4 linked regions of the Pelodiscus sinensis genome follow. The protein of the gene in region 2 interacts with the protein of the main gene of each other region in a pairwise test. Links are inferred from orthologs where the notes say so. Each region holds a gene or a part of one and is shown on either strand. Other genes may lie near its edges. The genes, in order: ADGRG7, LDLRAD1, MARCHF2 and VTI1B.

Region 1 (8,076 bases), on a different chromosome or scaffold from region 2:
TGTTGGCCAGAGTGGCCACCAGGGAAACCTGGGGAGGGCTAACCTCCCACTAGTTCGAATTAAGGGGCAACACACCCCTTAATTCGAACTAGTAAGTTCGAACTCGGCTTAATCCTCGTAAAATGAGGTTTACCTAGTTCGAACTAAGCGCTCCGCTAGTTCGATTTAAATTCGAACTAGAGGAGCGCTAGTGTAGCGCCTATGAATGTTAGTTTGAACTAACATTGTAGTGTAGACATACCCTTACAGAGTTTAAAAAGAAGTTAGATAAAGTCATGGATGTTGGGTCTATGGAGTGCTATTAGCCAGAGGGTAGGAACGGTGTCCCTGGCCTCTGTTTGTGGAAGGCTGGAGATGGATGGCATGAGACAAATGGCTTGGTCATTGTTTTCGGTCCATCCCCTCCGGGGCAGCTGGTGTTGGCCACAGTCGGCAGACAGGCTACTGGGCTAGATGGACCTTTGGTCTGACCCAGTACGGCCATTCTTATGTTCTTATGTTGTAAGCTCAGGGCTCAGGGTCGGGGGTCTCACTGGACCAACTTGATTTTCATGCAAACCTGCTCCTGGGTTCGCATGTGGCCTTTGGTGGCCAGGCTGGCAGCTATCCTGCCCTAGATGGCTGCTTTCCTGTGCCAAGTGCGGAGGTCGTGGACGATGGAGGCCTCCCCCCAAACCTGGATGAAGTCCACGATCTCCGCACTAGACCAGGCGGGTGCCCGCCTCTCGCGGACCCAGGCAGGCTCCGGAGGGTTGGGTGGCAGCGGGTGGCTGGCTTGTGCCCTGCCAGGTGCAGGGTCTGCTGGCTGGGTGCTGGCAGGCTTGCACCTGGCACGGGCACCGTAGCCAGACCGTGCCCCTTTAAGGGCTCCAGGGCCAGGAGGGGGGCAGAAGAGTTACCCTGGTTGTGGCCAGAGTGGCCACCAGGGCAAGCTGGGAAGGGCTAGCCTCCCACTAGTTCGAATTAAGTGGCTACACAGCCCTTTATTCAAACTACTTAATTCGAACTAGGCGTTAGTCCTCGCAGAATGAGGTTTACCTAGTTCGAATTAAGCACGCCGCCAGTTCCAATTAAGTTCAAACTAGCGATGTGCATGTGTAGCCCCTATTAAAGTTAATTCAAACTAACGGCTGTTAGTTCAAATCAACTTTGTAGTGTAGACATACCCTCCCTCTCACAGGCCTTGGGGGACAGGCCAATCCTCACTTACAGACAACGCTGTAACCTCACGCAGCACACTTCTATCATACTGATCCAGGAGCCAACCCCTGCAATCAACCCCGGGGCCAACCCTGTCCTTACATCTATACAGGCAATATTATCACAGGACCTAACCACGTAAACCACCACATCAGAAGCTCATACAACTGCACATCCACTAATGTGATCTATGCCATCAAGTGCCAGCAATGCCTCTTGGCCATGTATATTGGCCAAACTGAACCGTCTCTACAAGAAAAAATTAATGGACATAAATCAGACATCTGAAAAAGGGAACACACAAAAACTATTCGGGAACATTTTAACTTGCCTCAGCACTCATTAATGGATCTCAAAGTCACCGTATTATTTCAAAACAATTTTAAAAGCCAGCTTGACAGGGAAGCTTAATTTCATTTAAAAGTTTGATTCCTACAACAGAAATCTAAACAAAAACGTTGGCTGGATGGCCCGCTACATTCCACATCCTAATGACAAAAAAAAAAAAAAGGTACTTAGAGTGGGTACTAAGTATTCTTATCAGCTTCATTTAGCATGGACATGTTGACAATTTCTTTCCCCTTTTTCCTCCTCTTCTCCCCTCCACATCCCCTCTCTGTGTTATTTATTTGAAAACTGGACCCCTTAAACTCCATTCATCTGAAGAAGCGGATTGTGCCCACAAAAGTTTATGGTACCATCTACATTTTTTGTTAGTCTCTAAGGGTATGTCTAGACTACATGGCTCTGGGTAGATTAGTTTACTAGACATACCCAAATGAAGCGGCGATTTAAATAATCGCCGCTTCATTTAAATTAAAATGGCTGCCGCGCTGAGCCGATCAGCTGTTTGTCGGCTCAGCGCACTAGTCTGGACGCTCCACGGTCGACATCAAAGGCATTTGTCGACCGCTCCGGTAAACCTCATCCCACGAGGCATAACGGGGCGGTTGACAAATGCCTTTGATGTCGACTGCGGAGCGTCCAGACTAGTGCGCTGAGCCAACAAACAGCTGATCGGCTCAGTGCGGCAGCCATTTTACTTTAAATGAAGCGGCGATTGTTTAAATCGCCGCTTCATTTGTATATGTCTAGTAAACTAATCTACATGACTCTGGCGACAGAGCCATGTAGTCTAGACACACCCTAAGGTGCTGCAAGACTATTCCTTGTTTTTTTAAGTTTTTCCAGTTACAGACTAACACGGCTACCCCTCTGAAAATCCTGACACCTGCTCATGGACTCCTAGCAGGCCTCGCACCTCCCAATTGAGAACTGCTACAATCAATAGTAGGACCATATTTCCCAAAGGAAAAATGAGACATAGCCCAGAGCTGGTATGAGCTCTCCCCACCTCAGCATGGGGCTGGTTCAAGCCACTTGACCCTCTCCATGAGGCTGGGTTGCTGAAACCCTGTCTACTCATCTCCCTCCTCATCATGAATCTTGGCACTTCATGAGGGACTGGCATCACTGCTCATTCTCCTCCCACACACACACACACAAACACTCATTCCTCTACACTGCACCCCACTTTTTGACAAAAGTTGGCATTTGATCAGATGGCAAAAGCAAACCGGACAAAAGCCCACTGTTGCCAAAAAAGTCAGAATGATCAGGACATGGCTAAAAAAGGGGACTGTCTCAGCCAAAATAGAAAATATAACCATCGTAGCGATTAAAGTATTGCCTCTCCTTAAAATCCTTAAGTATTGCATCCTTAAAATCCTGCTAAGACCAACACAGCTACAATAACACTGCAAACGATGGTGAGAAGAGACATTCCTGCTCAAGAAGCTAATGGCACTAAGAACTCAGTCAGTATTCATTACATCATTTTGTGAACTGGATAAAACAGATATTTGTATTACCTGATTTAAACCTGAGAACAAGTTGCCAAATGCATAGTATCCAAAGCACTACGGTCACTGTCCCAAAAATAATCACAATCAACGCTCTGCTGTCCCAGTGAAAGGAAGGCATTTTGTGTATGCCCTAAGCATGCTCAACTATAATATATTTTTAATTCACTTCCTTGTGATGGATAAACTATTAACTACTTTTCTCATCGTCAAGGCTAGAAATGTAACCCTTTCTGTTCCATTTAAGGAAATATTGAGAGGCAAAACCAGAGGCAAAATGGATGAAGGATTATCATTTATTAGACCAACTTCTGTTGGAGAGAGAGACATGCTTTCAAGCTTCCACAGAATTCTCCTTCTGGTCTGGGAAAAGAAGAAGAGCTCTGTGTAAGCTCAAAAACTTGTCTCTCTCACCAATAGAAGTTGGTCCAATAAAATATATTACCTCAGCCATCGCTCTCAGACCCCCTTTCTCTCCAAGTCCCTGATCTGCATGAATGAGTTAGACCTAGAGCCAAATGAGGAGTCTCTGTAGAAGGAACTCTGCCTGTTCCATGCATTGAGGGAGGAAGAAGCCACTCAATATATGAAGCTGCTCCAATTGTCCTACCTCAGGAGGTCAGGGAGTAGGGAAAGGCAGCCCATCCAAAGGGATTTTTCCAGGGACTGATGGATTTCCCCTTCTACTGTGCTATAAATGGTCTCAAAGAGTGAATGGTCCATCATAAATGGGTAGCAGCAGCTTCAATTAAGTGTTTAAATTTCAGGTCTTGATACCTAGCTCATTTTTTAATGTCTACATTTTTGGCCAAGTCTGAGGCTTCTTGTGACCCCTCTCCCCTGCCCCACAAAGTACTGCCCTCCTTCCTATCAGAGGGTCTGCAAACACACAGTGTGTGTGTGTGGGGGGGGGAAACCCCTAGAATGGGCAGCTCTATCAGATTTGAGCATCCAGTAAGCACTGTGTAAAGGTTAAATGGTCCAACACCAAGTCTCTGGTTTCTAAAGAAGCCCCAATTTTGCATGTTGAGGTGAAAGATATATTAGATAACACTCTGGGGCTTCACAACACTGCTGTGCAACCCCTGCAGTATTGTGAACAAACAGAGTGTGAAGCTTTAGAGAAATACTTTCCTCAGTCACTACAGTTACTTGGCCTGCTAACTTCTAGGACAGTTTCCATTTTCTTTCAACAGAATCTGTAACTTTTAGAGGGCGCAGAATGCTACCTATCCTTATCCATTGCACGTATTCCTAATCTCTAGCAGCCTCCACTACTTATCTTAAAGGAGTTGATTTATGAGTGATAACATTGTAGATCTAGAGCCAAAAGCTGCACAGAAAACGCCTACCCATATACTCTTGCATGGGGCCTTTCATGCAGGTAGGTTGAACAAGACACTGAGGCCAATTGGCCATCAGTTTCCCAGTCACCTTTTTCTTGAAGATGGGCACTACGTTCACTTTTTTCCTAGATAACAGGTATGGTACCTTTTCTGATTCACTGAAGACTGTTTCTAGAGCTTCAAGAATTCTTGCTGGTATTTTTCATCAATCTCACGTGCAATTCTTTCATACTCATCAATGTGTAATATATGATGTGGGCAGATAGAGGTCTGAGCATTGGCTTCATCCCTTTTAACCAATTATAACAAGATTCACATGCCACTCTGGCACCTCCTGCTAGTTGCCATGGCAATTAGCCCTGCACAGTAGTGTGCTCTCTTCAGGTGGTGCCTCACCACACCTCCTTTATGTCTGTTCCAGGAGTCATATCTCTCCAAGGGCTGCGACATCCTCTTCAGCAATGCAGCCCTTTGGCAGTGCCACACACTGTGCTCTCCGCATCCAAGGGGCCTGCAGTTCACCTTCTCACCACTTACTTCAGTGGCCAACTGCACTCCCTTCCTCCAGGGCCACCTCCCACCTGGCTTCAGCTCCCTCTTTGCCTTGAGTCAGGTCCTTAGCCTGCACACCTCACCAGCCAGCCAGGAGCTGTCTCTTGCTCCCTCAGTCCATGCTGGGGGGACTGCACCGTTCAAGGTGCTGGCATTTCTCTCAGCCCTCCAGAAATATAGTCCTTCCTCCTTAAGCTCTCAGGGAGAACTGACTTCCTTTGGCACCGATTGGCTGCTCTCTTCAGCTCTCTTTTGATCGGCTGCCTCCAACCTCTTTTCTGCCAGCGAAGGGCACCATCACATCAATTCATTTGGAATGTGTTCTCTTTTGTATTTCTTTAATGTTCATTCATTTTTAGTATTTGATGCTAATACCAAGAGAAATGGCCCCGTTGCACTTGGAAGCAGAGCAGCAAAGGAATCCTCAGTTCCAGCATGTGACACAAGGCCTTCAGCATGCATGGCCTTGCTGACTGACTGCACGATGAAAAAGCAAACATGATTCTGGGATGCATTAACAGGAGGGTTGTGAGCAAACCGCGAGAAGTCATTCTTCTGCTCTACTCTGCGCTGATTGGCGTCAGTTGGAGTATTGTGTCGCGTTCTGGGCACCACATTCCAAGAAAGATGTGGTAAAATTGGAGAGGGTCCAGAGAAGAGCAACAAAAATGATTATAGGTCTAAAAAACATGACCTATGAGGGAAAAGTGAAAGAATTGGGCTTGTTTAGTTTAGAAAAGAGAATACAGAGAGGGGACAGGATAGCAGTTTTCAAGTATCTGAAAATATTTAAAAAGGTGTTACAAGGAGGAGGGAGAAAAAATTGTTCTCCTTGGCTATTAGGACAAGAAGCGATGAGCTTAAATTGCAGCATGGGAGGTTTAGTTTGGACACTACAAAAAACTTCCTGTCGGGGTGGTTAATCACCGGAATAAATTGCCAGTGGTGGGGTTTGTGGAATCTCTATCACTGGAGATATTTAAGAACAGGTTAGACAAACACCTGTCAGGGATGATCTAGACAGTACTTGGTCCTGTCATGAGGGCAGGGGACTGGAATTGATGATCTCTCAAGGTCCCTTCCAGTTCTATGATCCTATGGGATGAGCAGGAAAGGTGCACATATAGCCTGCCATTCCCCTCCAACACGGTGTTTGACTCTTGGGGATTTGTGCTTTGTACAGACTCAGTGGCACTGCCTCAAAAATGCCTTCTTTCATTCCTGTAAATGGCAAGGAAAGTGCAGGAAATCAAAGCATGACTGCCATTCAGGAAGTTACCACTCAGTCAACTGTTTTTTCAGGGTACTAGAGGTGTAAAAACACACACATACACACACATACCCTTACACATTCAAGTCTTTCTAGTGAAGAGATTATGGACTTCAGCAATGAATAAATCAGTTTTATTTAAATAAAATTAGACACATCTTGTTTGTTATAAACTATTACATTTTCTTTAAAAAAAAAAGGCACCAATATTTAACAATAACTTAAGGTTTAATTAGAGCACTACCTTTTTAAAATGGTATGTTTGCAAACCTGGCAGTCTTCCAACCCTTCTTTGAATTCAAACAAATTATTGGTAAGGGAGTATCAAAGGTCCTACTTCTTTGTTAATATATAGCAGTGTTCAAAACATAACCAATCAAGACACCAGGTGAAGCTTTCTGCATTAAAAAAAAAGGTTATTCCTAAAGATATTGGTTGATTTTTATCATACTAATGTATAACAATACTAGGCAGTTTGAGAATATGTCTGAATCTTTTATATTATAGATATTATAAATATATTACAATTTTCCCTTTGCTTTTTCTTGTATTTTATCATTTTAATACCCAACATTTGTACAGAAATTCAAGCAGTCTTAAAACTTGAGGCTTTAGCATCTGTTTTTACCAAATCACATTTCTCCAAATTACAGACATTTACATCACGGCATCAAAGAGTTGTGTATGTATTGAAGTTAGTCTCTTATTTTTTTATGATTTCAAGGCAGGTATTGTACTGTAATATTTCTGGGAAAAGGGAACAGAAGCAACAGTGAAATAAAGTTTATCATTCTCTCCTTTAGTTACAGAGGGGTAGCCGTGCTATTATGTAACTTGAAAAAAACTTCAAAAACAAGTGATCCTGTAGCACCTTAGAGATGAACAAAAAGATATATAAATAGTATCACGGGCTTTTGTGAGCACAACCCATTACTTCATATAAGTCAGTGGATTTTGAGATTTCTCACCTCTTAGCAGTATCAAGCCCTATGTGTTAAAAACTACTCACTATGAACCATGAGCAGCCAGCAGGTTACTAACTTTAGAGTAGAGATAGGCCTGAGAGAAAAGATTCAGATCTGGATTATGAACATTTCAAGGTTTGGGATGCAGATGTATTCAGCTCTGGAGTTTTGGTTTAATCCATTACAGTGTTTGAGTCAGACTTGATATTAAGATTCAGTTTCTAATGCCAATGTTTGTACTTGTTGAGACGTAAGGTATAGATTCACTTTCATCTATAATGTAGAGTAATCAGATTGCCTACAAGACAGATTTGGTAAAAATAGCATGAGATAGGGGAGAAAAAAACTTAAGAGGGAAAATTACTGAACATCCTGAACACTTGAAAATCCATTTTTATTTTGGCTCTTTGTAATGCCATTTTTAGTAAAAGGAGATATTTTGTGTATAAAAGAAATGATAGGATTAGTCACAAAGGGTATGTCTACACTACCCCCCTAGTTCGAACTAGGGGGGTAATGTATGCATACCGAACTTGCTAATGAAGCCCGGGATTTGAATTTCCCGGGCTTCATTAGCATAAAGCCGGCGCCGCCATTTTTAAAAGCCGGCTAGTGCGAACCCCGTGCCGTGCGGCTACACGCGGCACGGACTAGATAGTTCGGATTAGAAGCCTAATCCGAACTATCTAGTCCGTGCCGCGTGTAGCCGCACGGCACGGGGTTCGCACTAGCCGGCTTTTAAAAATGGCGGCGCCGGCTTTATGCTAATGAAGCCCGGGAAACTCAAATCCCGGGCTTCATTAGCAAGTTCGGTATGCATACATTACCCCCCTAGTTCGAACTAGGGGGGTAGTGTAGACATACCCAAAAAGTGTTAAAAG
Region 2 (8,230 bases):
GGCACCATGCTTTGAGCAAATAAAGTGCTCTATGTAGTCTAGATAGTTCTCCAGCCCCTCTACTGTAGATGTTGACGGCAGGACATAGCAAACCAGCTGAACAGGGATTTTTTTTGCCTCTCCCCCTTGTCTTTCTAGTTTGTGTGTGCACTTTGAAAACAAACCCAAGAACTGACAGCAGGGTAGAAAAAAAAGCACCAGCTAATTTAAACCTAATATTCAAAACAGCAGCACCTTTTTCTGTGTGTCTTCCTTGTGCCTCTCATTTTAACTCCACTGCTATGTGGTTCAGGCTCTCTTTCACTGCTGGCAGCTGTGAGTCCAATTGACCAGCTAATGGGTGCACGTATCAAAAAGGGCAGATACTGCTTCCCTGTAGCCTGCATGTACTCTCCCAGCTTCACTGGTACCAGCACATCTTCACAGAGAAGGCACTGGGTTAGGAAAGAGAGCCTGTGCCTCTTCCTCCCCTAACTGTGCAAGAAAAAGGCACATGTGTTTGTTCTACTCTAGCATAGGACATTGGCTTGGTCTAAAGTATTATGCTAGGCTCATCTTAGCATCTGCTCCTCCACAGGAGGCAAACTAGTTCTTGGCAAGGCGCATACTTCCCTTCCTCCAAAATCCAACTTTGGACTATGGGAGTAGCTCATCATACTTCACCTGTGGGGGAAGGGAAACTGATTAGGAAATGGGGTGACAGGAGGACTGCAGATGGAAATTGGGCTGGAATTCTAGAGATAAGGGGGTAAATAAGAGGGGATAACAGCAGCTCAGAGGATAGATCAGAGCTTTTCCTAGCAATGCAGGTATATTGTGTGAATCCTAGGTAAAACAGTGAGCATACACCACCACCTAAGAACAGCACAGTGCACTGCTGCAATTCAACTGTCCCATATACTATTTCACTAGCAAATGAGCAGAACAGAGCTTACTGAGCACAGCAGCCTCTGGCAGAAGCAGAATTAACTTTCCAGACATGCTGCAATGCCAGTCACCTTCCTGGAAATCAGACAGGTGAAAGGACAAGGAGACAGCTAGATAGCGAGCTAGCCTTACAACTGTGATTTAGAGATGGGCATATACACAGCTATTTCAATGGGAAAGTTAAATGAAGTTGATTTGTTATAGCAACCAGGGCATAGGCTGGTTTTCTGAAGCACAGTGAAATAACTAAAGGAACCATCCTCACAGACACTAAAGCAGAATCAGTTGCTGGGCCTCTATTTCTGGAGAGATTAGGAGTGAAAAGGAAACATTTCAAACTAGGGCAGGGGACTGGACTTGATATCTCAAGGTCCCTTCCAGCTCTAGTATTCTACCATGTATCAGTTTCCACATAACAGGCAAAGGGTAGCCCAAGGTGACTTAGTTAAGTTGGAATTTTCAGCCCATCACACATCTTAAATCAGCCTTTGTCTAAGACTGACAATCCTCTAATAAGCAGATGGTATGAGTTTTGCCCACAAAAGCTCATGATACCACCTACATGTTTTGTTAGTCTTTAAGATGCTACTAGACTATTCATTGTTTTAAGTCTTTTTAGTTACAGACTCAGCTACCCCTCTGAATCCTTTAATAGTTTAAGATTCCCCTCCTCCCGTTTCAATAGCATGATACTGTTCAAGTGTAACAGACTAGTTCCTGCCTCTGCAAGATTCCAAGTTTAGATGACTGCCTAGCACAACATATTCTGGGGGTGTGGGAAGCACTGAACACAAAACATACCAGTGCCCTAGAAGTTTGTTAAAAATGCTCCGTTCAAATGGCCCAAAAAAACAAAACAAAACAAAAAAAAGATCCAGCAGCTTAAGGAACTCTAATATCCTCTGTTAGGGCTGCTGTTTAAGAAGACTACTGGGTTGAAAAAAAATATAAAGTTACAACTGGTTTGGCAGATGTTAAAATATTCCAAGTTTAGACCAAAAAATAGCAGGTTAAGTTGATGTCCTAGGAATTTCAATTGGATGTTCTGGTGACAGGGATGTTGAGTATAATTGCCTTTGATCACTGCATCTGCAGTATTTACAGCTGGTATTGAGGAAAGTAAGACCATGAGAATGTGCCTCTACAAATAGGTGCCTCCCACTTGGCTCTTTTAAAAAGAGTTAAAATGGGATTTTACTTAAATTCTTACATCACACGTGACAGCACAGCACATACCCACGAATGCTAGTGATTCAACATCCTTTTTCAGGGATCATTCTGAATAATTGGAATGATCCTTACTCCAGCATGATCCCCCTCAGGAGCCACATAGAGCTAACTAATCCTTGTAAATCCATATTCTGATGCTAAGCCTGAGAACCAGCCAGGACATTTCATCTTTGTCTATCATTAAGAAATCAGAGACCAGCAAACACTTTGCTCTAGAGTAGAAGGTAAGAACCAAGATGAGAGATGAAGTGTTAAGACAACTACAGCTCAATCAGAAACTGCCTTTGCCCCTCAGTTTCTGTATCTGTGAAGTAAAGTTTGTGAGCTTTGTAAGGGGAGATGCAAGCATGTGAACTTCCACCACTGCCAGTTAGTAGGAATTACCAGAGTCCTAGGTATCTATGGTGCAGTGGCCATAGCTTAGTTATTTTACTACTAGTTTTTTGTAACTGAAATCATGTATAGCTGATTTAGCCACCGATACAGCAGGGTTCTTGTTTCTATGCTTAGGAATCCGAGTTCTCAAAGTAAGAGGAGAGATGCACAATTATATGGGTGGGGGAAGAGGAGGAAGTATTTGGTCCCTCATCTACAATTGCTTGGGCAATTTAATTTTCCATCTTTGAGAAGAGCCCAAAACCCAGTTACTGTATACAGTACTTCAAGAGTCTGAGTATTTGAAAATAAGTTGAATAGAAATTGTTTTGCCATCTTAACTAGCATATAGGATCTAGGTTTGCTCCCATAGTAGTTAAACAATATCTTAGTGCCAAGATGAGTGAATCGGTCTAATTCCAGCAGTTCTTACTGTAGTAACAACTAATTATCAGAATCAAATGTGGTAATGGGAAAAACCTGGATACAAAAGATGTACAATAGCGTAGAAGTCAGGTCCTTTAAGCTATATAAATTTGTTTATAGAAATTAATACCTCAAGAATCTCATTGCAGGAATGCAGGTCCCCCTCCACCTCCCGCCGATACTGCTTATAGGAGTTACTGAGTCCTAGACTTTATTCCTAGTATAGTAACGTTTCAAGTAACAATGCCCAAGATTTGAACCTTTGTTTATTCTTTTCCTTCCTTTCATTTCTGGTTTCCAGAAGTTTAAGTAGATATTACAGCTCAATATTAAAAAACTAGAAACTGTTAATTAACCCAATTATTTAAAAATTTAAACATTTGAAAACAGCCACCTTTAGAAAAACGAAATGAGAAGAACAGTTTTACATGCATGAGTTAAAATTGAAGTCATTGACAATTAGAGCTATACATTGTACTGAAACAGGCAACTGGACAATTATACTTTCAGTGAAGCGATAAACATTTACACATCATAGGGGAAAAAACAGATTCAAAGAACATTTACAATGCCGGTTATAAAGATTTGGGATAACTAAAGTGTTATTGAAACTGTCCTGCAGACAAAGGTAGTGCAAAGAATACCAGCAATGGCCACTGGTATGAAGTCTGTATTTGCATCTTAAGCTATCATTGCTCAAGGTGCATTGAATATTAGTACATCAGCATTCTGCATTTAACAAGGCTGTGTACTTAAGTACATGACTGCATAGAAATGAGTCTTGGGACAATTGCTACTACAATACAGAAAAAAAGCTAATTTTTAAAGCACTACACAAACAACTTTCACATTGAGATCCTTGCAAAAACCTAAATATTTAGAGATGTTAAGAAGAGCATTGCACTCCAACTTTCATAGTTAAGTCAGATCCTCTTTCAATGCCACATCAACCAAAAGTTACATAGTAATTGGGCAAACATTCAATGTTTGTATTTTAACACAGTAGACACCCCTCAACTTATACCTTAATGACAAAAAAATGTAAGGTGCACATGATTTTAAAGAACAGATTTATAGCAGCTCTGTGTATGCTTAACACACAATTGCAAGCACCACAGTGTATGTGGTACGCACTTCAAGTATGGACCCATAATGCATAAGCTATATAGTCCTCAAAATTTGCCCATTCGGCAACCATCTTCGCCTCCCACTCAACCAAAACTTTAATTAAAACCAGAACAGCAAGTTATGTAATGAGTTACTCTGGAACGTCTCAAATACAATTTTTGCTAGTGTACAAAAAGCTATGCAAAAACCAGTATCTATTGCTTACTTCTAACCTGAATGTAGATATAATCAGACATTTTAAAAAAAGCGCTAATAACTCTGGCCAAAATAAGATATTTAGGCCAGTTTCTAAATTTTTGCAAAGGGGTTTTAAGGAAAACCATCACAGCGCCTTCTTCAAGATATCTAGCAGGCACAAGATTATAGCTGCTATAGGAAAGAACAAACCTGTGTTGAACAGGTTAGCTAGAATAATCATCTCAAGTTTTTTACTGATTGTAAAAACAAATTGTCTGTACAGGATAAACTTAACACAAATAGTCTTTAAAGTGCTACCAGACTAACAAAACATGTAGATGGTATCGAGCTTTCGTGGGCACAGCCACAAAAGCTCATGATACCATTTACATGTTTTGTTAGTAAAATAACGTTTACAATTCAGAAGCTTCAGGGGGTAGCAGAGTTAGTCTGGCAGCACTTTAAAGACTAACGTAGCAGAATGAGGTCAAGTTACATATGCAGTAAAAGCTATGCTATCCAGCACTTTTATAGCACTTTCTGGCTGGTAAAGTTACATTTCTGGTCTTCAGTAAAAGTTTGGTTTCTAGTCTGGTTGGCACAGGACCACCAGGCTCCCTGGAAGCAGGGACACATCCCTGCTGCTCCTGAACAGAGGAGCTGCCATGGAAGTTGTGCACTGACCCTGCAGCTTTCATTGATGAGGAACCATGGCCAATGGGAGCTGTGGAGACAGTGCTGTGGCCAGAAGAGCTTGCAGAGCCACCTAGCTGCATCTCTACCAAGGAGAGGCAAGGACATTTTGCTGCTGGTGGGGAGCTGCCCGAGGTGAGCACCATCTGGAGCCAGCACCCTGAAACTCCTTCCTGGAGTCTGAACACTGCACCCTCTCCTGCACAGTGAAGCCCTCAGCCCTAACCTGGAGTCCCTCCTCCTGCACACTGGCCCAACCACCTCCTACACCCCAGCCCTTGCCCCAGTTTAGTTAACCAGAATGTTTCATTAACCAGCAGCCCCTCATCCCCATTCCTTCAATGTACCAGATTAATCTTTTACTGTATTAGAGGGATGCTGTAGATGAATCTCATACTGAATGTATAATGGTTAACTGCAAGCCATAGCAAAAGGCTACATTTATTCTGTTTTCAGTAATTAATTTGTTTGACAATGGAACAACTGGACCCAACTGGTTAACTAAAGGGAAGTCTTTGGAAAGAGTATAATCTAACCTAAGAAGTTCTTGAAGAGTTGAAGGCTAAAGTTTGTCAAAAGAATAAATATGCACGTCACATTGTGTGTGTAAGATAAAAAGGTCCTTAAAATTTGCATTTGACAGTGAGAGCTCAGTCTGCAATACCTCATTAATGCTCTGCATATTGACAACAGTAAAAAAAAATTTATTTTAAGGAAAAAGGTTTAAGGTTTTTGCAAAGACATTAACAGATAATACAAAATTACTGCCAATAGTTTTCCTACTAATGTTCTTATTCACAACCAAAAATGCCCAGCCTAAGCATCTTCTGCCCACTTATTTATACCATACTTTTACAGAGCTAATTCTGCTCTTACATCATAGAAAAATTAGAAGTGACTGATTGAATGTGCCATGGTACAAGTGTAGAGAGCATGCTTAGTTTTTGGTAAGCAAAAAGGACACATTGCCAACTCTAGTAAAAGCAGTTACATATGTTTGGGAGAAGTCTACAAATTAAAGATGTTTTCCTCTAGTAGTGAAAAGAATTGATTCCATGAGAGACTGATTTGATTCTGTAACTTTATTTGCATTTAACACTGACCATTAAGCCCTGCATTTAAAGAAACCCTAAAAAACCCCACCAGGAATTGATAGAACTGCTAGAATTAGCCTATTAAATTCTTTTTAAAAAGTATTTAAATAGTTGAATGAGCCAGATTAACTTTTGTAGGTAGAGCTCCTGCTTCTTCATGTTCATCAGTCTTGCAACGAACAACAAGAAGAGCAGAAGATGGGTATCTGGTCAGATTTTGTTCATTCATGTACTCCAAGTCTCCATAGATGCTCAGCTTCTGAAATAATTAAACTTGTTTTAAAGAGATATTACAGATTCTGAATGCACAATCGAGACATGCTCAGCCATAAGAACACAGACTGGACACAGTGGGTCAGACTAACAGTCAAGCTACCCCATTCATCTAGTTTTCAGCCATGGCCAATGCCAGGTGTTTCACAGGAAAGAAACATAACTTGTAATCAAGTGATCCATTCCTTGTTACCTATTCGTATCTGCCAGCATATAACTATGATCACACACTTCTCAGTGAGGTTTTGCAGCTGAAGCACTGCTTGAATATTATAACACACTATTTCCCAGGACATCTAAAATTCATGTTAACAGCAGAATTTGAGTCTAAGCCTAAGACTAACATGTTCTGGTCAGAATGAGTGGTACTCATATGCCAGCTTCAGCTCCTAAAAAGTATCAGTCTTGCTTTTTTTGGAGGAAGGTGAGTGGAGGATGTCAGTTCAGCCAGGCCTTTCCCCCCATAAGATTCCTACCACTCACCACATCACATTCATAGGCTCCTGCCATTCTCAGCCTTTTCATCATCCTTACTGCCCTATGTCTCACTCTGCTCCCACAAAAGAGAACTAGAAACAGCTTCCAGTTGTCAAGCATGTTACCATAGGGAAGAGGGTTTCTAACCCGAGAGAAAGACAGAGGCCCACAACAAAATTAGGAGGAATGTTACTCAGACTAAAAAATGCAAAATGTGAACTCTACAACACGAGGATTCCAATTTTGTGGGCACATACAAATTGAGTAGATGACACATCCACTACATCTTTAAATAAGTGTTATTTACAAAATGGTAGCAGAGCAGGAAGTGCTGGAGGTGCCTGCCTTTCAACCTTTAGCCCTGTGATCAGAGTATTCAGCTGGGCTGGGGTTGATCTGGGTTTAATTCCTTTGTCTGATAGGAAGCAAAGATTTGAACTTGAGTCTCCCACATGGAAAGACAGCCCTAAGCCAGTGAGACTCAATCAGTGGCCCTCTGGCCAAGTGTGGCACACTAGACAGTGCTTAGTTTGTAGTGAAGATGCCAGCATTCAGGCTTGGCAAAAATTAAGCATTGGCTGGGTGGCCAGAGCATGGTGGCTGCTGTCTGGGTGCCCAGCTCTGAAAACTGAAGGCAGTGCTCACACCGAGCTGGTGCCCAGCCAGCAGCCACTGCTGTCCAGCCACTTAACCAGTGCTTAATTTGCACCAGGCCTGAATTCCAGAACCTCTCTCATTACAAAGCAAGTACTACTAATAACTCTGATTAACAACTTTAATTAAAGAAAAGGTAGAAACACTAATACTTATGTCACAATCAAGGTCTTTATTGACAGTTATTACTCTATACTATCTGTATCATTGTCAGCCTTCTGTGCAAATGGTCTACTTATAAAATTCTCTAACTGGTCCATAGGTAAATCTAATCAAGTATCACTGCCCTAGTAAGTACTGGGATATGGGAGGGTACTCTATATCACATCTCAGTCTTTCTTGCTGATGTTGTTCCACTGCATGTAAACACTGCAATTAAATAATTATTGGAATAAGAACATGAACTTGGGCCTCCCCACAGAGGGGGAAGCCCTAGCTGTGTCACTGCAGTCATTTCCCTATCTGTGTCACTTACACATAGTGGAACAGCTTCAACAAGTATATGAATAGTCATTAAGCTAAAGTGTTAAAATGGACTACAGCCTCATGATTATGGGCACTCACTTTGGGAAACACACATTTAGGTCTTTGGTCCAGTTACTTTAGTTTAACTTTGGAAGATTAAGACCTGCCCCAAGTGCCATCCCATAGTCCAGTGAAGAGGGTGCCATTTGAGAGGCCAAAGAACAAATCCCAACTTCACAGCAGGCAGAGGGGATCACCCACATCCAATGAACTGCTTTATCTACTAGGCTAAAGGTCAGAAGGGAGGGACA
Region 3 (8,150 bases), on a different chromosome or scaffold from region 2:
GTTCATAGTGGAACCTCATTAAATTGGCCTTGTCTATTGGGAGTAGGGTTTCTTATTGTTCAATTTTACATTCTTTTCTGTCACACATGGGGAAGTCACAGTAACTACCTAGATGTCTGAGTTCAATGAAAGGAGCTCTCAACCTGTCTTTTTATGGAGTTCATCTCTGATGAGCAAAGAAGGAAAGTCAGGTCCAGTGCAAAGTTTAAATCACTCAAATTTTGTTGTTGGAAACTCCACAAAGGACAGTCTGGTGTAATCTGTTAAATGGACTCTGTCTGCCAAAACTTGGTAGAGGTGAAAGGGATATGATTTCCCCGCCCTGCACTCATCAGAGGTATTTTGGGGGAGCTGACTATACTTGGTGCCTCTACAGACCTCCCAGCGTGTGGTGAAGAGAGTTAGTATATTTGTCAATTTAAAAAAAAAAAGATTGTGGGACATACATATGAATCAAGAGGTATCTTCACACTCCAAGGCAACTGCTCTTTCAACTGGGAAATGCAGTCTTGATTTTGAGGAGTGGTCTGTGCTTTTGCTATTTGAACAGGTCACTCATTGAAAGAAGCCAATTGGTTTGTTTGAAAACCTGCTTCTCTATTGGACCAATGAGTCCTCAGAGCTTGATGTGCTAGCCTTGTGTGTGCAAAACATTGGCACCACCTTGAGCTATAAGTGGTGTGAAAGTGAGTCCATCTCTGCCCTGTGGTGTGTTCCAGAGTGGAGACTAAAGGAAGAACAGGTACTTCAGACATCTTTATCTCTGAGGAAGCACAGATCTAATAAGGTGTTTCATAATCATCTACTGATGCCTTTCCCCCTTCCTAGCAAGGAAGGAACCTACCCTAATTAGAGGCCTGCTCTTTTTAAAAACACAAAAGCCAGGCAATTTGGACTGAAGGCTGAAATTTGTCCTTAGCTCTAAAGTGACGTAATCCAGTAGAGCTTGAAGTCTCATAGCTTCAAGAACAGACCCTTGCCAGGGCTGTGGTGTAGGATTTTATAGCTCAGAATGGACAGTGGGGTATTTCCAGACAAGTGTTGTGAGCTTCTAGGCTGCTTCGTTGCTGCCATTTGCATTTCTCTTTTGGTCGTGTTACTGGACAGGCTCTGTGGGCTGTAGCCCTGGACCTTTATGCAACTGAGAAGTGGTTCCTTTCACTTTTTTTTTTAAACTCATGATTCCTGTATTCAGTTAAGTGCAATTCACTTTGTAAATAGATTTATGCATCACTTGATTTTTGTGCATGGTTATTATGTATTGTGGATATAAAGATTGCCAAACCAAATTGTGTGTGAATTATTTTGTTCTAAATAGTCTTAGAATAATATGGGGAATCTGTTGCTTTTGGACCTGGGGAGGTAACAGAACTGAACTACCAAAAGTGAGGCTAGCAGCTCCTCTGCTGACTTTGCCAGTGATGTGACCATTTGGGGAGGAGATCTTACTAGTATGAGATACTGAGCTAATGGACGTGCAATACACAGCTGTGAAGGACTAATGCTGTTCCTTGAGCAAATGTTGCATCGACCCCTTCTCTTTACAGCTGGGGTGGGCAAAATCAGGCCTGGGGCTGGATCTAGTCGGCCCAGCGGATTAGCAGAGATGCAGACTTACAGCCGGGCAGCATGTGGTCATCTGCCCCTCCCTCACTGTGCTCTGTCCTGCTCCCAGGATTCTCCTGCTAACTGTGCGGAGGGGAGTGGGAGCGGGAGCACTGAAGTCAGGGGGTCCCTCTGGCCCTGTACTTCATCTCTGCAGAGCAGGTGTTCGAGAAAAGCCTCTTTCAGAAGCAAATTGGAAAAAGATACGCAATTTATCTAGACATAGCCTAGAACTAGATACAGTATCAGTGCAGAGTAGAGTGGAAGAATTACTACTGGTGTCTTACATACAACATTCCTGCTAATATATCCCAGACATTTTTTAAGCAGCAATGGCTACATCTAGACTGCATTGCTTTTCTGGGATACCAGAATTTATTTTTTTTCAAGAAAGCTGACACACTTTCACCATCCCTGTAAACCTTGTTTTACAAGGAATTAGGGATGTTGAAAGAGCATTGTTTTCCAAAACTTTTCACAGTGTAGACATGCCAAATTTCAGAAAAGCCTCTTGCGTACCGATTTCCCAGTGAAGTCTCGATGTAGCCAGTGTCACATGGTTGAGTCATACTTAACTTGTAGTCCACCCTGACCCCCAGATCCCTTTCTGCAGTACTTTTCCATAGGCCATCATTTCCCATTTTGCATGCGTGCTACTGATTTGTTCTTTCTAAATGGAGTATTTGCATTTGTTCTTACTGCGTTTCATCTTACTTCACCCTATTTCTCAACTTACTCTAGATGGTTTTGAATTTTAACCCTATCCTCCAAAGCACGCATGTGAGAACATATAAGAAGTGTGACCCTTCTGCTCCTCCAATTCTTTTTGACTGCCTGTGGCTGAGAGAGAGCAATTATGTTCCCTGCTGCTGTGGTCTGAAGAGCATCCCAATGCCAATTGGCACACAGTTGTCATGCTCATAGACTTTAAGGTCAGAAGGGACCATTATGATCATCTAGTCTGACTCCCTGCATAGTGCAGGCCACAGAATCTCACCCACCCCTCTTAAAATAATCCTCTCACCTATGTCTCAGATATTGAAGCCTTCAAATACTTTGAAGGCCCCAAGATGCAGAGAATCCTCCAGCTGTGATCTGTGCCCAATGCTACAGAGGAAGGCAAAAAAAAAAAACCTCTAGGGTCTCTGCCAATCTACTCTGGAGGAAAATTCCTTCCCAACCCCAAATATGGCGATCAGCTAAACCCTGAGCATGTGGGCAAGACTCACCAGCCAGACACTATTGTCGACTATATAATCAATGGATAAGCCCTAGGCTATATCAGAGGTAGCAAGGGGGAGGGAGCTGGCTAAAAGCTGGTTTCCCTCAGCACCAGGTCCATGGTGCTGCCTGCCCCCCACCTCGTGCTGCTGCCTCTATCAGAGGTAGCAGTGGGGGAAGGGGCAGGGGAGGCTGTTGCAAAACAGTCTCTGTCCCTGCTGGGCCCGATTGCCCCACAAACAGAGGCTGCTGCTGTCTGTGGGGATCTTGGACCCCCCCCCCCAGCCCAAACAGGCTGCTGCTGTCCTGCTGCCTCTGTGTCAGAGGCAACTGTGTGGGGCATTAGGCAGCTGGTCTGTGCAGGGAGCTGGTTTTTAAACTGGCTCCCCTCATGGACTGGTTCCCCTTGCTACCCCATGCTGCTGCCTCTGACATAGAGGCAGCAGCACTAAGTGGTAGGGGGCTCCCTGGGTGTGGGGTCAGGAGTGCTCTGGCTGCTGGCCATGCCCCCAGGGACTATCGACTAGTCATGTAACTAAGATTTCATGTGGTTACACAACTATTCAATTACCTGCTAGCTAACATCCCTACTTTGGGGCATATATCACTGGAAAGCTAATAATTCACTGCTCATGTTATCTGATGGTGTACAGATGGTACACTAATCTCCTGACTTCTATCTCTAGGAAGAAGCCCATCTTCTCTACTAGAGAATCTAGAAAGAGGGATAGGTCATCTAATTGAATCAACCCTTGGGAAACGTCAGATAATGGGTCCAACTGTGACTCCGGTTCATGCCAGTACCAAAGGTTTGGTACCACCTGAGAAACTGTCAGCTAAGCAGCATCAAGAAGCTCCTTTCTCACAGGCATCTCATGCCTCTTGGCAAGATGTATCTAAAACCAAAGGCCACTCAGACTGGCACTTGGTTCCCTCCCTGGTAGGCATGTTAGATAACATGTAATTGAATAGTTGTATAACTGTATGACATAGTCATGTAACCACTAACATTTGACAGTCCCCAGGGCTGGGGATGGCCGCCAGTGCACTCCCACTCCTGGGGAGTCCCCGGACACTGTGTGCTGCAGTCCCTCTATCAGAGGAAGCAGTGCAGGGTAGTAGGTTGGAGCCAGTCCGTGACGGGAGCCAGTTTCAAAACTGGCTCCCCATGCATATCGGCTGCCTACTACTCTGTGCTGCTGCCTCTGATAGAGGCAGCAAGCTGGCGGGGGATGGGGGGAATGCATGTAGTCAACAAGATTAAGCAATAAACCTAGGCGTATCAGTTAATCGTGTAAGTTGACTATGCCTTGACATCCCTGGTACTGTCTTTGAAACATCAATGCTTCAAGCTCAGAGACAATCACGTCAGATCTCCAGCAGCGCTCGGTGCAGCTGTAGCTCTGCCAGGCCTCTACCCACTACCAGCGACCTCTAGCACCCGTCCGATTCTTTCCAGGGCGGGATCCTCCTGTGCGAGGAGCCAGAGCCCCTCCTCCGAAGGTACCGCCCCCAAGAGCCGCCTCCCTGGCCCCGTTTTGGCTCGGTGCTGACAGAGCTTTGCTGGGCCATTGTACAACCCCCTTCCCAGAGCCCCCCCCCCGGCCGCAGGAGTCTGGCTGGAGCCCACGGGCGAGGGGGCTCAGTCCCGGCTCCCCAGGGGCAGGCCCCTCTGGTCTGCTTGGGTGAAATCCTGAGGAGCCTGCTCCTCCCCCTCCCCCTGACCCAGGCTGGGGCAGGTGCGGGTGGGGGGGAATAGAGTGAGGGGCGGGGCCTCGGAGAAGGGGCGGGGCCAGGGTAGGTGGCTGCTGCTGGGGAGGGGCTAGGTGGGGCAGGGTTCAGGCCCCGCCCCCGGCTCTCGCCCTGCCGCCTTCATTCCCTGCGCGGAGCCGGCCTTGCCCTGTCGGCTTCCTCGCCCGCCTGCAGGCCCGTGGCTCTGTCCATCGGACCATGCCATGACGTCTGCAGTCGGTTGCGGCAGGCGATTGGGCGAGAGAGCCGTCGTTCTGTGTAGTCCCGTGCGCTGAGTGGCTGCCGGGAGCGTAGGCGGGGCTATCCGCGTGCGCTGTTCCGGCCGCCGTGACAGCGGGCGGGAGGAGGAGGCAGCAGTAGGCGGCGCCCGGCGGCCGCAGGAGCCGGGGATGGGGCGGCCCAGGCCCCGCTGAGCCTCGGCCCAGGGCATCGGCACCGGCAGCCCCGGGCGCGCCAGGGACGGTGAGGGGGGTCGTGGGAGCGGAGGGGAGGAGTCTGTGCGGGGAGGGGGGAGCTGGGACTGGGGGGAGGGGTCTGTGAAGGGAGGGGGGAGCTGGGACTGGGGGGAGGGGTCGCTGCGGGGAGTTGGGGGAGCAGGAGGAGTGACCAGGATTGGGGGGAAGCTCAGGAGTCAGGGGACGGGGGAGGGAAGGGAGCTGGGATTGGTGGGGAGGGGTCGCTTCGGGTATCTAAGTTGGTATCTAAGCTAAACACTTGCTGCCCTGAGCTCCCCTAGGCTGAGGCAGATTCTCTGGGGACAAGGGACAAGAGTTGGTTGTATCAGCATTGCCCTGAGGCTACAAGGCTGTCAGTCTGTCTGGTTGCCCAATGACTTTGGAATTCCCATCTGCCTGTTAGAGTGTTTAACTTTTTACTTTCCAGCTGTAGTTATTGCCCATCAGGTCACTTCCTGCATTTCCTTATTTGGTTAACTGGTTAAACATCACATTTAACCAGTTAACCAATGAAATGGGATTTTATATCCCGAGTCTCGAGTCAGTTACACTTGCTGAGGAGACACAAAAATCATACAACACTAGAACTGGAAGGGACCGTGAGAGGTCATCAAGTCCAGTCCCCTGCCCTCACGGAAGGACCAAGCACCGCTGAGATTCTTCCGGATAGATGTCTGTCTACCCTGCTCTTAAATATTTCCAGTGATGGGGATTCCACAACCTCCCTAGGCAATTTATTCCAGTGTTTAATCACTGTGACAATTAGGATGCTTTTCCTAATGTCCAGCCTAAACCTCCTTTGCTGCAGTTAAAGCCCATTGCTTCTTGTCCTATCATTGGAGGCCAAGGAGAACAATTCCCCCACCCCATGACACACTTTTAGATACCTGAAAACCACTATCATGTCCTGTCTGTTGTCTGTTTTCCAATCAAAACAAGCCCAAATCCTTTAGCCTTCCCTCATAGCACGTGTTCTCTAGACCTTTAATCATTCTTGTTGCTCTTCTCTGAACCGTCTGTAATTTCTCCACATCTTTCTTGAAATGTGGTGCCCAGAACTGGACACAATACTTCAATTGAGACCTAATCAGTGCGAGAAAAGTGCAAGAATGACTTCTCCTGTCTTGCTCATAACACTCCTGTTTATGCATCCTATAATCAGTTTGCTTTTTTTGCAACAGTGTCACCGCTGACTCCTATTTAGCTTGTGGTCCACTATGATCCCTTTCTGCAGTACTCCTTCCTAGACAGCTGCTTCTCATTCTGTATGTGTGAAACTGACTGTCCCTTCCTAAGTGGAGTAGAAGGCCAGGTAGTCTTCTGTTGTTGGCAGTTAAGGCTGTGTTATCTTGCTCCTTATCCATGAGCTCTCATATTAGGAAGGCGGGCAGCACTGATTACTGCAGACATGTGCATGTGAATGCTCTAGCTGCTCCCCATCCCTAACACTCTGGAGCCAGTTTGGAAGAAATTATTGCAGACATGACAATGCTGTGCCATCCACTCTTGTAGGGTCAGCAGCATCTTGTCATTGACTGCCTGGAACACTGCAGAGACTGGGTGGCATCTGTGCCGTGGCTTGTTCTTTTAGTTGCCATAGAGTTTGTTGACTAGCTTTTAGGCAACCAAGAATAGGGAGTGGGCTGCATGGGATGCCCTCCTTCATCTCAGTGGGCATCCTGCAGCCCACTGGTGTTCCATCTGCAGATTGCCTGTCTGCCACGTCCCCCACGTGCCTCTTGTGCACTGGGGCACCTGGAGTTCCAGCTCTGGGAGACAGTGGAAGGAGCGGGGATGGGATGGAGCATGACTCAGTGAATTCATGATGCTCCGAAAGTGCTGGGGGAGAAGGAGAGGACTAGGAAGTGTGTGGCTCTGGTGCCCCAGTGTGTGAGAAGCGCAAAGGGGAAGGGGTTTGACCAGAGTCCGCAGGTGGAGTCGTAGTGGGCTGCATGTGGCCAACAGGCTGCAAGTTGCCTAACACTGCGTTAGAGCTTGTCTCTGTGTCACACCATGGATTGAAACCAGATTGTGGAGAGTCCATGTGAGCATGGCTAAATGGGGAAGGTTGGAGACAGGGCACTAGTGGAAAGTGTGTATTAGTACCAAGAAAATTGACTTTGTAAGACCTTATGGACTATTTCATTCTCTGACAGGGTTTTAATTTCTATTGTATGGCTTCATTGTTGTTGACTGGCTTTCCCTACATGGAGAGGGCAAGGATCTGTTTCAGAAGGGTGGGTGGGTGGGTGTGTGTGTGTGACACAGACACTGAGTTCATTCAACGGAGGCAGGATGGATACTGCACTCTCTTCTGTCAGATCCTGTTACCATGTCCTTCAAAATCTGCACCCCTGAATGATGGAATTAAGATTTTATCTACACTAACCCTTTTGTTGGCAAAACTTTTTGTTAGGGGTGTGAAAAAACATCCCTCCAACCGACATAAGTTTCATGAACAAAAGAGCCGATGAGGACAGTACTATGTCAGCAGGAGCCAACATAGCTATTGTGGCTTGTTTGGGGTAGTGTGGTTTATGCTGGAAGGATGCCTCTCTCCCACCACCATAGCATGTCTACACAGGAGACCTTCACAGCTGCATCTGTTGCACTATAAGGTCCATAGTGTAGACCAAGCAAAAACAGGACTATGTAGCACTTTAAAGACTAACAAGATGGTTTATTAGGTGATGAGCTTTTGTGGGCCAGACCCACTTCCTCAGTGATTCCCAACCTTTCGAGCATATGGACCCCTTTTCAATCTGTTAAAATGTCTTGGAGCCCTCCCCTCTGTAGAGCTATGTAGTGAAGAGACACTACAGTGGGCCCGATCCTTAGTTTTAAACTTTCCATGGACCCCCGGAGTACTGTCGCAGACCACCAGGGGTCTGCAGACCACAAGTTGGGAACCACTGGTGTAGACAGAGCCTGAGTGAATCTCACCGTGAGTGTGGACAGCACTAGGTTAATGGAACGATGCGGATTAAATACAGGAATGGGAGAACCTCTCTCATCACTTAAAACACAACTGTGACAGAGCTGCCCCTCCACACGATTTGTAACAGGGGCTGCAAAGAGAAATGTGAGCCAAGTATTACCCATACAGAGACATCTGCA
Region 4 (7,633 bases), on a different chromosome or scaffold from region 2:
TGACAAAGTCTCTGTAAAGTCACTTTTTTTTTTCTATTATCCAATTCTGAGGAAAGCTTCATGGGACTTTTCAGAACACTAAGATGCACCTGCTCCCAGTTAACTAGATGCAGAAGAAACATCCACTAAAAAAAATTTACTTACCCCATATGGGGACCTTCCTCAAGTCCCACAAAATTTCTTGCAAATTATTTTTGAAATCATTCTTGGGGATTTTCCTGGTTTGAGCAATGATTTATAGCATTTACAACTGAAAATTATCCTTAATAAGAATTTCAAAAATTGCTTGGCAACAATTAAACTGATTAGCCTTAATAGCAGCAACTCATTTCTTCAGACCCTCCCTCAGTTTTTCATGCAACTTTAATGACACTATTTTACTGACAAACTTCCATGACCACTATTCATAAAATTACCTTTTAAAATTGCACTATACAGTTAAATCAGCTTCCTGCTTACTGTTCTGTTCTAATTTTGAACGTGGGATAGTGTTCTATTTAAGTGCTTTCTTTGTTCCCCTCACTTTGGTATCAGAGTGCCTCCCAAAATTATAAAGTGATGAGTCATTTCTCACTCTTCCATACAGCAAAGCAGCAAAAGATAGATTTATAGGGGTTTTGGGAGGGAAGGCTAGATTGTAAGTAACTTGAGTTTTGCAGTCAGTTTCAATATCAAGCAAGTCCATATTTGTGATCCATTCTTGATGATAATAATATACTGTGTCCAGTAGAATATTGCCATTTTGGAAGGTCATCATCATACTACATGAAGTAATTCTTGGGACAATTTTATGGAGAATTTCAAAGAAGAGAACACAGACTTTGAGTTCAACTCAGTATTTAATGGGGAGCCACTTGTCAGTTGAACACTGCAGTGTTGTGTTCTCAACAGCCTAGGAGACTGAGCATAGGAGCTACTGGATTCTAAACAACAAAGTTTTTATGAGTTTGATGCTTACATATTAAGTACAGAGAATTACTATAATTAATCCTGGTGGTCACATGACTAACAAGTGCCAAAGAACAAGGAATATTTTGCCTTATTCACTCTTCTGGCAAAGAATAGATATCAGCTGAGTAGACTTCGGTGTCACACTTCTGAAAAGAAAGGGAGCTTCCTGATTGTGAGGAAATTCATTTATATTGCTAACATTCCTTTGTCAGGTCACTTCCCTTTTCCCCCCAATATAACCAGCATTCACCAGATGAATTAAAAGGCCACCATCAACTTTTAGAGAGATTCTTCCATTAGAAATCATTTCACCTACTTACCAGTATCTGCTAGCTAGATCAAACAGTAAAACTCAAAAATTAGAAAAAAAAGCTCATTTTTCCAGGATTACTTTTTACATTTAACAGCAGCACAGTGTTTCACTTTAGAAATCTTCTGTAGATTATGTGGTCTCCCACAGCAACAGGAAAGAGGAAATCATTTAAAAATAAGAAAACGTAGCAGTAAAACTACAAAAATTGCCTAGAAGACTTAGAAACTGCTTTTAACTCTTCATTATTAATTCAGTTGACTAGATAGTGGCCTTTAAGCTAGGGATATAAATTTATGTTTAATTAATTAATTAACTGGTTAAATGTTATGTTTAACCCAGTTGTTCCCAACCTGTTGTCAGCAGACCCCTGGTGGTCTGCAACAGTACTGTAGGGGGGTCTGCAGAAAGTTTAAAGTAGAAATTAAAATAAATGTACAGAGCCTACTGCAGCCAGCATGTCCTTCAGCCTGCATTGCTTCCCGAGCGGGCTGAGGGATGCGGCTCAGAAAGCAGCTTGGGCTAAGGGACGTGCAGGCTGCAGGCACAGCTATATTGTTTAGGGAGTCCATAACATTTCAATAGATTGATGCTTACTAATTAACTATTCACATCCCTACTTTAAGCAAGATTCTAGTGTTTCAGAAGGGAATGGGCCTGGGATCATCGGTTAACCTTCACAGTTACATGCAGCTCCTTTCCCCTCCCCCCAACTGCTGGCAGATGGGAGCTAGTGCAAACAGGGAGACACCTGCCCCCACTCTGCTGCCTCAGATACAAGGCAGCAGTGGGGGCGGGGAAGGAGCTGCCTCCCACCTTGCATGTAAATGTGTAATTGCTGAAAATTTCAGCAATTACACATTTACCTAAATAAATGCATTTTAACAGCCCTACATTGCATATGTTTCATGTTTGTGCTGACACTTAAGCCAAAGGCCCAAAGTATACAAGAATTTACATAACGTAAGTGCAGTGATGTCAGTGGGACTACCTTATGGACAGGATGGTCCCCCATACTCAGATTAGCCTGCAGGGCCCTGGATGGGCTACAGCTGGCAGCAGCAGTATTCCCCCCCCTCCCCCCCCGCCATTCACCTCAGGAGTGGGAGTCGTAGTAAAGCAAAGCTACATAGTAGCCAGCCTTCATTGGGGCTGGGGAACTCCTTTTTGCTGCCTCCAAGGTGAAGCGGAGAGGTGGTGGCGGGCAGAGCAGAGAGCTGTGCTGCTCTGCCGCGGTGAGTGTGGGGAGGCGATGGCTGCTGCCATCACATACCAGCTCTACTGGAAATCACCAGGGCTGCGTCCTTTGGGGGAAGAGGCTTGAGGGAGAGGGTGCGATGGGGGACTCACGGAGCAGCACAGATTATGGAACTACTCGGGCCACAAATGGCTCCCGGGCAGAGTCTGAGACGCCTGATCTTAAGGGTCAGACCTCAATTTGCACGTCCCGTTCAGTTCTTGGCCTCTAATAAGGATGCCAATGACCCTGCGCCGCCCCCCCGCCAGACAGACTCGGGGGGGGGGGGTCTCCCGCTCCTAAGCAATAACGGCCGCGCGCGCGCGCTCCCTCACCGGCCGCGCTCCCCCGCAGTCTCTCCGGGGCGCCTCGCAGCTGCTTGTGCAGCCCCCCGAAGATCTCGTGCAGCCGCTCGAAATGCTCGGAGGAGCCGGAGCCCCGACCCGCCATGGCGGCAGCTGCTGTCGTGTCCCGGCCCTCTCGCCTGCTACTAGGGGTCCGGGCTCATCGCCCCCTCCTCACAGGCACTTCCGGGACGCGAGTCGGGGCCTCCCCATCCCAGTGCCTCGTCCCGCCCAGGGGGTTGCCCACATGGCGCCTGATGATCAGTCGCTCGGCACCGCGGGCAGCGGCCCTCTGGCCACGAGGTTCTCGCCTTGCTAGAGCCACATGTGGAGCCCGAATCTCCGCTCGCCAATGGGGCTAGCGCCGTTCTACGGAGCAGGCATAGTCGCTGCCACCCCAAAGGGGAGGCGCCATCCTCCGAGCCGCGCACGGCATGCCGGGAAGTGTAGTCTCTGGGATTGCTCCCATCCAGTAAGATTGCCCCTTGGACGCCGATAGCTGCCGGATGCGTTCAGTCTGGCAGCGCCTGCGCGTGAGGGCGCTCTCGCCAGCGGCGCCGCTGTGGGCCCGGGCACACGCCTCAGGCAGTGCAGGGCAGCTGTGGGGAGGGTCACATGGGAGCGCGGGGATTTTCGGGTGGGTCCCTCCTCCCAATTTAAGTTTGCAAACCCGACCGTGCCAGTGAAGCGTCCTCTCGCCGCGCGCTGCTGCTAGGGATGTCAGCCGTTAACGGGCAGCCGAGCTCGGCTGGAGCAGCCAGCCCCCTTCCCCCATCCCGTTAAGGCGGTTCACTGATTACATGGGATTTCAGATCCCTAGCTGCTACCACTGATCCTGGGGGCTTCTGTCACAGGCGCTAGAGCAGGGTGCCTGTGGGACCGGCCATTGACGGGAGAGGGAGCTGTCCTCCCCCCTTGCCTTGCCTAGGGGCCTGGTGAGCCCGTTGGCTCCTGTGCTGTGGGGTATAGGAAGGGCCACCTCGAGGCCGGGATGAGAGGGGGCATGTGTGGGCACCCCATTTAGCAATTAAAATGTTGGCTGGGGCATAGAGGTTCAAGTGCTACCACAAGTCACTTATGACTCCATCCCTTTGTGCAGGCAAGGGAGGGAAAATGTACAAGAGTACTGCCCTACAAGTACATCCAAGAGCAAAATGTGCACACACCAGCAGCCACGGAGAAACCCAATATGTTGAGTTTGTTATGTTGTGTCATCCAAAGCAGTAGTAGCTTTGTATGTATATGAACCTAATTCAGGTGCTGGCTTGGCAGATCTGGATACTGAATTCTCCTGTCCACGGAGCAGACAGATACAGTACATAGATTATTTATTTATTTATTTAGTATGTGCATAGTCTTCTAAGCCAAGCAATGGCATCTTCAGTGGCATGATGCTGTTCTTCTACATCACCACTGAACCTAGCCACCAGGCATTCAAAGACAACATGTTTCATTGTCTGTGTTATGCTGCAGCTGCTCAAAGGACTTTTCCGAAGGCCACAGTGATAATGATTGGCTGCACAGAGACCTTGCTCAGTCCGGAACCTATTCAATAGGGATCACTGACAATGGGGCAGTCAAAACCAGGCAAGCAAATTGTGGGATCAGCGACGAAGGACTGGTTAGAAATTATAAAGTATCCATTGCTCTCGCCAGTGCCTTGTATTTGGTGGTGGAGTACTGTACACCATTATGGAGTCAATCGTCACACACCAAATAGGTGGATATGCAGTTATATGCCACCATGCATATCATCTCTGGCACTCTGTTCAACTCTACTCCGAGGGCTCCCAATTCTGAGCAATAATATCAGATGCGAGATTGCCACTAGCAAGATATTGGAGATAGTACACACCAACCCAAGCTTACAGCTGCACAATAACCTTTTTAAATTTCCAGCCACATACTTGCCATCACATTGCCTGTTATGGCCTCATCTGCCATGCTAGGATGTTAGAGCCAAACTTGAACAGCTTAATGGGAGTAAATCGGGGGGTCCAGATAATCTTCATCCAAGAATATTAAAGGAACTGGCACATGAACTTGCAAGTCCATTAGCAACATTTTTTAATAAATCTCTAAACTCAGGGGTTGTACCATTTGACTGGAGAATTGCTAATATAGTTCCTATTTTTAAGAAAGGGAAAAAAAGCGACCCGGGCAACTATAGGCCTGTTAATTTGACATGCAAGATCTTGGAAAAAATTTTGAAGGAGAAAGTAGTTAGAGACATTGAGGCTAATAGCAATTGGGACAAATTACAACATGGTTTTACAAAAGGTAGATCGTGCCAAACCAATCTGATCTCCTTCTTTGAGAAAGTAACAGATTTTTTAGATAAAGGAAATGCAGTGGATCTAATCTACCTCGACTTTAATAAGGCATTTGATACAGTACCACATGGGGAATTATTGGTTAAATTGGAAAAGATAGGGATTAATATGAAAGTTGAGAGGTGGATAAGCAACTGGTTAAAGGGGAGACTACAGTGGGTCATACTGAAAGGTGAACTGTCAGGTTGGAGGAAGGTTACTAGCGGAGTTCCTCAGGGATCAGTTTTGGGGCCAATTTTATTTAATCTTTTTATTGCTGACCTTGGCACCAAAAGTGGAAGTCTCCTGATAAAATTTGCAGATGACACAAAGTTGGGAGCTACTGCCAATTCAGAAAAGGATCGGGATATCATACAGGAAGATCTGGATGATCTTGTAAATTGGAATGATAGCAATAGGATGAAATTTGATAGTGAGAAGTGTACGGTTATGCATTTAGGGATTAATAACAAGAATTTTAGTTATAAGCTGGGGACACATCAGTTGGAAGTAACGGAGGAGGAGAAGGACCTCAGAGTCCTGGTTGATTATAGGATGACTATGAGCTGCCATTGTGACATGGCCATGAAAAAGGCTAATACGGTCTTGGGATGTATTAGGCGAGGTATTTCCAGTAGGGATAAGGAGGTGTTAGTGCCATTATACAAGGCATTGGTGAGACCCCATTTGGAATACTGTGTGCAATTCTGGTCTCCCATGTTTAAGAAGGATGAATTCAAACTGGAACAGGTACAAAGAAGGGCCACTAGGATGATCCGAGGGATGGAAAACCTGTCTTATGAAAGGAGACTCACGGAGCTTGGCTTGTTTACCTTAACCAAAAGAAGGCTGAAGGGGGGACATGATTGCACTCTTTAAATATATTAGAGGGATAAATACCAGGGAGGGAGAGGAATTATTTAAGCTTAATACCAATGTGGATACAAGAACAAATGTACAGGCAGTCCCCGGGTTACGTACAAGATAGGGACTATAGGTTTGTTCTTAAGTTGAATTTCTATGTAAGTCGGAACTGGCCCCAGATTCAGCCGCTGCTGCCGAAACTGACCAGGGGCTAACTACAGGAAGCTGGAGGCAGAATTGCTCTGCCCCCAGCTTCCTGGAATCAGCCACTGATCAGTTTCAACAGCGGCTGAATCTCGAGCCTGGGACAGAACAGCTGGGCTGCCAGGTAGGTCCCTGCAGGACCAACCCGGCAGCACCCCAGCTGCTCTACCCCAGGGTCCACAACAAAAGCCTGGTCTGCTGGGGGGGGCGCACTAGCTGCGCCCCCCCCAGCAGACCAGGGACACAGGGAGCAAAGCCGCAGTGGTGGCGGGGTGCCGCGCCTCTGAGGCTTTGCTCTGGCAAAGCCTCAGAGGCGCGGGACCCCGCCGCCGCCGCGGCTTTGCTCCCGGTGTCCCTGGTCTGCTGGAGACAGTCCCCAGCAGACCAGGGACACCCGGAGCAAAGCTGGGGAGGCGCGGGACTCCGCCGCCACTGCGGCTTTGCTCCCGGTGTCCCTGGTCTGCTGGAGACGGTCCCCAGCAGACCAGAGGCACCCGGAGCAGCTTTTCTCGCCCCGGAGGTCGAGGTGGCAGGACCGCTGTGCTCTGGGCGGTCCCGCTGCCTGCGAGCTCCGGGGCGAGAAAGCCCCGTTCGTAAGTGCAGAAAGTCGGATCCGCGTAACTCGGGGACTGCCTGTATATAAGCTGGCTAGTAGGAAGTTTAGATTTGAGATTAGACGAAGGTTTCTAACCATTAGAGGAGTGAGGTTCTGGAACGGCCTTCCAAGGGAAGTAGTGGGGGCAAAAGATCTATCTGGTTTCAAGATTAAACTAGATGGGTTTATGAAGGGGATGGTTTGATGAGATAACATGATCTTGGTAACTAATTGACCATTCATTATCAGTAGGAAATAGGTCAATGGAGGGATGATAGGAGTTACTACTATAGAGAACTTTCTGGGTGTCTGGCTGGTGAGTCTTGCCCACATGCTCAGGGTTTAGCTGATCACCATATTTGGGGCCGGGAAGGAATTTTCCTCCAGGGTAGATTGGCAGAGACCCTGGAGGTTTTTCGCCTTCCTCTGTAGCATGGGGTACAGATCACAGCTGGAGGATTCTCTGCATCTTGGGGTCTTCAAAGTATTTGAAGGCTTCAATATCTGAGATATAGGCGAGAGGATTATTCTAGGAGGGGTGGGTGAGATTCTGTGGCCTGCACTGTGCAGGGGGTCAGACTAGATGATCATAATGGTCCCTTCTGACCTTAAAGTCTATGGCTACATCTACACTGGCGCCCTTTTCCGGAAATGCTTAAAACGGAACAGTTTTTCCGTTTTAAGTATTTCCGGAAAAGCGCGTCTACATTGGCAGGATGCTTTTCCGGAAAAGCACTTTTTCCGGAAAAGCGTCCATGCCAATGTAGACGCGCTTTTCCACAAAATGCCCCAATTGTTATTTTCGCGATCGGGGCT

The links.
Region 1: the proteins of LDLRAD1 (region 2) and ADGRG7 interact in binary tests that used the Homo sapiens proteins (3 or more experiments, as listed by UniProt). The two-hybrid records come from large-scale screens. The link is inferred for Pelodiscus sinensis from reciprocal best matches to the Homo sapiens genes LDLRAD1 and ADGRG7.
Region 3: the proteins of LDLRAD1 (region 2) and MARCHF2 interact in binary tests that used the Homo sapiens proteins (3 or more experiments, as listed by UniProt). The two-hybrid records come from large-scale screens. The link is inferred for Pelodiscus sinensis from reciprocal best matches to the Homo sapiens genes LDLRAD1 and MARCHF2.
Region 4: the proteins of LDLRAD1 (region 2) and VTI1B interact in binary tests that used the Homo sapiens proteins (3 or more experiments, as listed by UniProt). The two-hybrid records come from large-scale screens. The link is inferred for Pelodiscus sinensis from reciprocal best matches to the Homo sapiens genes LDLRAD1 and VTI1B.

What each region holds. Positions count from the first base shown.
Region 1 is NC_134711.1:150,957,725-150,965,800, reverse strand, and holds the start of ADGRG7 (adhesion G-protein coupled receptor G7), read right to left. Parts: upstream 3,228-8,076; 5' UTR 3,184-3,227; coding exon 3,072-3,183; intron 1-3,071. UniProt on the Homo sapiens protein: Orphan receptor.
Region 2 is NC_134719.1:11,283,697-11,291,926, forward strand, and holds the start of LDLRAD1 (low-density lipoprotein receptor class A domain-containing protein 1), read right to left. Parts: upstream 3,065-8,230; 5' UTR 1-3,064. Other genes in the region: TMEM59 (transmembrane protein 59), read right to left, coding at 6,154-6,309.
Region 3 is NC_134729.1:25,339,563-25,347,712, forward strand, and holds the start of MARCHF2 (E3 ubiquitin-protein ligase MARCHF2), read left to right. Parts: upstream 1-4,882; 5' UTR 4,883-5,040; intron 5,041-8,150. UniProt on the Homo sapiens protein: E3 ubiquitin-protein ligase that may mediate ubiquitination of TFRC and CD86, and promote their subsequent endocytosis and sorting to lysosomes via multivesicular bodies.
Region 4 is NC_134714.1:72,556,383-72,564,015, forward strand, and holds the start of VTI1B (vesicle transport through interaction with t-SNAREs homolog 1B), read right to left. Parts: upstream 3,194-7,633; 5' UTR 2,949-3,193; coding exon 2,834-2,948; intron 1-2,833. UniProt on the Homo sapiens protein: V-SNARE that mediates vesicle transport pathways through interactions with t-SNAREs on the target membrane. These interactions are proposed to mediate aspects of the specificity of vesicle trafficking and to promote fusion of the lipid bilayers.